2 linked regions of the Danio rerio genome follow. The protein of the gene in region 2 interacts with the protein of the main gene of each other region in a pairwise test. Links are inferred from orthologs where the notes say so. Each region holds a gene or a part of one and is shown on either strand. Other genes may lie near its edges.

What was found. The genes of interacting proteins can lie anywhere in the genome.
Region 1: the proteins of kifap3b (region 2) and ncf2 interact in binary tests that used the Homo sapiens proteins (3 or more experiments, as listed by UniProt). The two-hybrid records come from large-scale screens. The link is inferred for Danio rerio from reciprocal best matches to the Homo sapiens genes KIFAP3 and NCF2.

What each region holds. Positions count from the first base shown.
Region 1 is NC_133182.1:41,684,690-41,688,723, forward strand, and holds the start of ncf2 (neutrophil cytosol factor 2), read right to left. Parts: upstream 2,801-4,034; 5' UTR 2,759-2,800; coding exon 2,585-2,758; intron 2,441-2,584; coding exon 2,358-2,440; intron 859-2,357; coding exon 750-858; intron 563-749; coding exon 428-562; intron 1-427. UniProt on the Homo sapiens protein: Subunit of the phagocyte NADPH oxidase complex that mediates the transfer of electrons from cytosolic NADPH to O2 to produce the superoxide anion (O2(-)).
Region 2 is NC_133177.1:26,583,510-26,587,009, forward strand, and holds part of kifap3b (kinesin-associated protein 3b), read left to right. Parts: intron 1-165; coding exon 166-278; intron 279-1,020; coding exon 1,021-1,186; intron 1,187-2,377; coding exon 2,378-2,503; intron 2,504-3,500. UniProt on the Homo sapiens protein: Involved in tethering the chromosomes to the spindle pole and in chromosome movement. Binds to the tail domain of the KIF3A/KIF3B heterodimer to form a heterotrimeric KIF3 complex and may regulate the membrane binding of this complex.

The DNA.
Region 1 (4,034 bases), on a different chromosome or scaffold from region 2:
CTTTTACTGTGTTTTCTGGTGTTTCCTTGACTCATACTTTCACAATTTACTTTGTCTGTAAAATGCGTACAAAGAATGATGTTCATTTTACTAGAAGGATGACTTATGTAAGGATATCGGAGTATAAATCATCTGTCTCGTGAATTTTGACCTTTCTGAAACTTACACAACTTCCCTCAAAATCTAACCAGAACCTCTGATTGTGAAACAAACCAAACATAACCACTTTTTAGACAAGTTACGAAAGAACAAGCTTTCGTTGCCTCATATAACAACCAAAACGTTTGAGATGAACCACAGAGTATTAGGTCAACATATAATTCAATGACTTTCAGGGCCAACTTGTAAATTAAAACAGGAATTTAATTTATGAGTCCTAGCAACTGATAATCATGTTTATGATAATGAAAGTTAAGCAGATACAGACCAGAATGGCATCCAGCGCATGATCAATATGGCTGAACTTGGCATCTGCTCTCAAGCTCAGAGCAGTGAGAAGGTTCTCTTGAGCTTTTTCCCATTTTCCCAACTGCGCCTGTGCCAGTCCAATGTTGTGCAGCACCTTAATATTACACAAGACAAAAAGACTGCTTTAGAGAATGAACTGAGGTGACTGTTAATGTCAGATGTTGCAATATAGGAGAAAACTCTTGTGAAAAACCATCAAGTCAGAAATGGAGACGTGTAAAATGTCACTCACATCACAACTATTAATAAGTCAGTAAAGTTGAAAAAATATCTGGACTTGCCTCACAAGCATAAAGTTTATATCTCAGCCCCAGAGGTGTGTAATCAATTAGTTGATTCCCTCGTAACTGCTTAAATGCTTGTTGGAAATCCAGAAGAGACTCTTCAAACCTGGAGAGAAGGTTAGGATCATCAGTTTATTAAAAGTGGAATGAGATATTTTGTGATCGGCTCTTAAAGCGGCGGTCCACTACTATATCACATTTTAAACTTTAATTGATGTGTAATGTAGCTGTGTGAACATAAACAACATCTCTGACTGTAATACGCTCAATGCAAAGAGAGACATTGGCTTTTACAGAGTTAGCTTAGCAAAGCCGACATTGAACAAAATTTGAGGACTACAAAAAATAAAAATAAAATCCAGGTTAGTGAGATCACAAATGCTTCAGGTTACATGCATTTACCCTGCAGAGCGAATGGGCGTGGCCAGAGGCGCTGTATGTTACAGCAAAAAGAGATAAAATGCCATCCAATAACTGCAATTTTCACAGAGCATCTTCTGTTACTGTATTTAAGCTTCCAAAGGACACGGCACAAGGAATTCCAGAAAATTATGAAAATATATAGCTCTAGCATTTGACAAAGGAGAACTTCCTGAATCTCTCCCAGTTCAGTGCTGGTTCGGCTAAAAACCAACCAGCAGCTCCAACCATAATCAAAGAAGCTGTGGTTTGAGAGCCACAACCTGTAAGTGTTTTTATTTGAGAAAACTGATCTATTACATGCACAGTTTTAAGCGTTAACATTATGTTGTAGTGAGGATGTAAACCGCTAACAATTTAGCTACAAATTCATATTTCTCCATCAAATCTCTGTAAACAGTCACAATCTTTTGCAGCGCTACAGTGTAACTCCATGTGGACGCTTTCCCTGTGTTCTACATCTGAAATAACAAACTTGCAAAAAATATGCAAATGTTTCATATTAATTACACACATGCTTATTCTGAATATATGTGAAAGACACTTGTTAGATTTTATTTTAGAGAGCAGGCGTAAGGTTCTGCTGTGTCCTCTTCATTTTCTGTTTGATTCAGGCTCAAACTGATTTGGCTCTGACCGACAGTATTTACAAAGCAGAGACACAGCGTGCAGTATTAAAGGCGTGATGCTTTTCCTGGTTTGCAAATTATGCACATTATGTTAGCTGACCAATCAGAGCCTCTTGAGGGCGGGCATTTTCATGTTAGCTGAGTATTAGCGTATAATTAAGATATATGAAAAATAATGTGATTTTCTACAAATCAAGCATGATCACACATTGCTTTGCTTCTTATAAACACATCCAAGCCTTAAAAATACACTCTAGACCACTCTTTTAAGTACCTTGAGCCATCAGAACAGCATAAAACGTTTACTTAATAGGATGGTTCACCAAATTTAAATTTAAATTCTCGTCATTTACTCACGCTCAAGTGATTCCAAACTTCTGTTGTACACAAAAAAAGATGTTCTGAAGAAACCGATAGGCATATCCATAGTAAAATAGTATGGAAGTCAATGGCTGATTTTTTTTCAACTGTCTTCAGTTTATCTTCCTTTGTGTTTAATAGAAACATTTGGGTGAACTGTCCTTTAAAGTGTCATGACAAGAGGTAATGATCTTACTTTTCCTTTTTATAAAATGTAACTCCTCTCTGAAAAAAGGCCACGGCCAGGTGTTCATCTTTGCCAATGCTTCCATCAAAAGCCTGCAGGTGTGAAACAGAAATACATTTCCCATAAAGAATAAAACTACTTTTACTTCCTTTTTACAGCCACAAATATTTTAGACTTTCAAAATACAATTCAAACATCAAGTAGTATAAAACATTGATTCAGCCATACAAGAGTACCTTTTCAGCTTCATCTAAGTCACTGTTGTTCAGACAAAGACAGCCGATGTTGAAAGCGATCTTGGAGTTTTTCTCCTCGATACTGAGGAATATCCTGAGAGCAGCGTCTGGGTCTCTTTGCTCCACACAAGCCACGGCCTCATCCCACTGGCGAAGGGTGCTTACGAAGGACATGCTCCCTCAAAACACGGTGAGCAGTGAACACATGAATGCTGCTCGTCTCTGTTGTGAACTGAGCAGAGGCAGTCTGAAAGAGAACAACCCCCAGCCTCTGCTCTGAGAGAGGAAGTGATCAGCTTCACTTGCTTCTGGATTTGCATTTGCCAGTTGAGTAAGTCCACATTTGTGGAGTTATTGTCCCTGTTATATCTTCGATTTTAAAGCCATGATTAACTGATTTTAGACTTCTGCCTAAATTTAAACCCTTTGTGGGAAATCAGATGTTTGTAACAGATCATGCAGCTTGACCTCTTGACACCTTAATTTCACATAATAGAGCATGGCCTTTTCTCATATTTATAGCACTGAGAAACAGGAGGTCAAGGTTGAACAATTTCTGTTTTAAAAAAACAATAAGAATAGACTTCAGAATGATTTTGCTTGTATGAATTCAAAGGTGGCATCACAGTGGCGCAGTGGGTAGCACGATCGCCTCACAGAAAGAAAGTTGAGGGTTTAAGCCTTGGCTGGGTCAGTAGGCATTTCTGTGTGGAGTTTGCATGTTCTCCCCATGTTCAGGTGGGTTTCCTCCGGGTGGTCCGGTTTCCCCCACAGTCCAAAGACATGTTGTACAGGTGAATTGGGTATGGTGTATGTGTGTGAATGAGTGTGTATAGATGATTGCCAGTACTGGGTTGCAGAGAGAAAGGAACAAACTGTGTAAAACATATGCTGGATAAGTTGGCCGTTCATTCTGCTGTGGCGACCTCAGATTAAGCCGAAAGGTAGAGGAATGAATGAATGAATAAATTGGCTGTCCTATATGGGCGTTTCCTAGTGTTGGGTTGTGGCTGGAAGGGCATCCAATGCATAAAATATATGCTGGATAAGTTGGCGGTTCATTTTGCTGTGGCAACCCCTGATGAATAAAGGGACTATGCTGAAAAGAAAATGAATGAATGAATTCAAAAGTGTGCCAATAAGGTGCAAATAAATTGTACTTAAAGATCAAGTATTTTAAGTGTACTTTATGTATGCTAAGTGAACTTGTATAATAATGTACATTACTAACAAACAATACTATTTGAAACTGAATTGACCCTTTTTTAAATAACCTAACACTATTATTTTAACTTATTAAATTAAAAATGTTACGTCGTTCAAATTGTTAAATAGACTCCTTTATTACTCCAACTTCACTTTGAAGCACAGTAAAACATAATTTTATTTATTTTGCAAGTATAATTGCACATGACGTGACCGTAACACCAAACTTCTAGATTAAATTTTG
Region 2 (3,500 bases):
GACTGTGTCTCATTTTCACCTTAACACTGAGTTGTTAGAAGCATTGACCTGTGTGCTTTATTGTACTGTCACTGATGATCTTCTGTAATGAATAATACATGACATCTGTTCAAATGTATGATCAGTCTCCAGCTGAACATGAATGTTTGTGGATTTGTTTTGCAGGCAATGGACTGAAAATGCTAATGAGAAGAGCACTTAAACTAAAGGACCCACTGCTAATGAAAATGATTAGGAACATCTCACAACACGATGGACCTCTGAAACAGCTGTTCATTGTAAGTACATTATTTCTGACAATTCTACAAAAAATACTTATTAGCATATTAATCATGTGATTACAATGACTTTTATCATTCACTTTTAAATGAAAAACTATTAATTCTGTGGAACACAAGAGATCGTGAATACAATTCAAATGTAAAATCAGGGCTGCGCAATATATAGTTTCAGCATCAATATTACATTTTGTACATTCTCAGTAGTCGCATCGCAGGATGTTCAACATTGAGTCTGGATTATAATTGATTAGCAACAAAGTTTAGAACATGTGAGATTTGTGGAGTTACTGCACAGTTTAACCATGAAAGAGTGAAAGTTTATCATTTGTTTTAAGGCCTGTGACTGTGAGAATTTCAGAAGTTTAAAGCATTTAGGCAAAACAAATTGTAACATTTGTAACTTTAAGGAAGGTTTTATACAATGAAGACCATGTTATTTCACATTTGATTATTCAATTTCTTTAACTAAATACTGTGTACTCCCCCAGAAAACAATAAAGCACTATTTATTACACAATTATTTTTGTATCTACTTGTAACACATGGTGAAACTGTATTCACATTGCAATATATATCGCAGAAAAACAAAATTTTACAAAGTATTACAATGCCAAAAATGTTTTCAATGTTGTGCAGCGCTATTTAAAATATTTACAAAATATGTTATATGTATATTGACAGCAAAAAAAAAATTGTAATTTACTGTTTTAATGATGATTTGGTGTTGTGTACTCTTCAGGACTATGTGGGTGATCTGGCAGCTCAGATCAAGAAAGAGGGGGATGAGGAGTTTGTTATTGAGTGTTTGGGCACAATGGCAAACCTCACCATACCTGACCTGGACTGGGAGCTTCTACTGAAAGAATACAACCTGGTGCCCTTCCTTAAAGACCACCTCAAACCAGGTACAGTTAACATGAGCCTTATGTGTTTGATGTAAAAGACAGCACAGATACAATTGTTAAGGTTATTAGGGAAATCTGCTCTTTATGAAAGGTTCAACTCTGTTTCAAGGGACAAATGGTGCTCAATAATAGGTGTAGCTTCTCCTGCTGCATCTCACACAAAAGCAGCAGTGACAGACAAAAAGAAAGCAGTTCTCCCTTACTTAATATTTGTTGTGGAGTTAATTCAAGCCTTTCTGGAATAATGAGTCACACACATTGTCCTTACAAAATATGCACACACACATACACACGTTTAGCTGTGCACTGTTTTTGCACGGCAAATGTGACATGATACACGTTAGTATCCACTGGACGCCCATTATGCTAATGTACAAAATAAACATTAGATAGAATCGTCTTCTTTTATAATTGTACTGACACTATGTGGCTGCGGTAATGAATTATGTAGCGATTTTACTGTCTATTACAAACTGATGATCACAGAGAGCTGAACAGATCTTTTAATCCTGGTTGCTTTTTGCACATGCTGTGCTGTCTTGATATGATTACAGGCGTTACTGTAGAGACATGTTCATATGTGGCTGTTTATCAATTCAGCGGGTGTTGAAAAACGCACTCCTATGTTACATTGTGGTGGGCCTCTAAATGGGAGAGATTTGGATTCTATTTTAACGTCAGGAAATTAAAAAAAGACCTATTGCGTTGATATTACCACAATATGACTGTTGACTTACTATACCTACACACAGCTCTGTCCAAACAGCTAACAAAAGATGATTTTCATCATAGGTGCCCTTTAAATTTAACAGCATTCAGAATCAATATTCAGTGTAGAAAAAAGTGGAGCTAAAATGGAAGTGTGTGTGTATTTATATTTATATATATGTATATATATATATATATATATATATATATATATATATATATATATATATATATAATATAGTGACTCTAAATGTAATAAATATAGTGAATGTCTCTATAAAACAACATTTAGCCTAAGTAAACTTGAGTAAACTGAGTCTAGTTGTCTGTAAAAAATGATATAGAGATCATTTTTAATTTTAATTTTTTTTTAAAGTGTGACTTTCTGAAGCATGTGAAAGGACATTTCTTGTTTAAGCAGTACAACGCATCTTTTTTCATCATGTCACACAGTATTTGACCTTTGTTCTCTGTGTGTTTCAGGCTCAGCAGAGGATGATATGATCCTGGAGGTGGTTATCATGATCGGTACGGTTTCAATGGACGACTCCTGTGCCGTCATGCTGGCGAAATCCGGAATCATTCCTGCTCTTATTGAACTACTCAACGGTAAGAGCTCTGCCAGCCTTTACATACATTTATTATCACAGAGCCAGTGCTCAAAGAAAACAAAACTGATCTCCAAATCTTTTTCATTATCGCTAGCCGTAAAAACAAATTCCAGAGGAAAAGATCAACAGTGTTTGGATTTCAGCTTTTGTTTGACCCTCCTGCTTTGCGTGTCTGTAGCCTCTCAAGTACCAGATTTCAATTTGGCGTGCTTTGTCTTGCCTAATGGGATCTGATGAATAGTTTATTTAGACTAAACTAATATTAAATTAAAATGAATTAGAATAAATAAACAGGCCTTAGTCATATTGTGTGCTGGGAAGTGACAGTGTCTTCAGGAACAGGAAAGCGCCGGGCTCATGGCATGCATCACATTTGCTGGATCTGCTCAATATGAGCGCTCATTTCAATAAATGCCTGATGGCAGGGCTCGTCCTTGCCATGGAAAGAAGTAATGTTTTAGAGGCTTGGGAGGTGGTGAGCTAAAGGCCAAATAATGTTTTTTTTTTTTTTTTACTGTTAGTGGACTCTGAAGTGGACTTCATTTGATTATTTGACATTTTAAGTGAGAGTCATTTCTGAAGGGAGCAAACAAATTAAGTGCATCCCAAATTCCATGCTTATGCTTGGTTCAACACCATTTTGTAATATATATAGTATAAGTAGTGTATTCACACTGACAATTCTATAAATAGTATGTGCCATTTTAATTCTTGGATGATATATTTATTCAACCAATAAAATTAAGTGTTAATAGTTGAACAGTCAATGGTCACAGCTTTGATAACAGAGCAGAAGTGGAGGAGCTATCAGGTGCTGAGATTGGATTACTTTATTTTGGATTGTGCAAGCAACATGATCTAACAGAGATTACACCGCCTCCCCTACCAATGTTAAATGCAGTTGAATTGAGGTATTATTTATTAGTTTGGTGATTTATTTCACTAATTTAGCAACTGTTAAATGCTGTCTTGGAAATTGCTTGAATTTGTGGTTA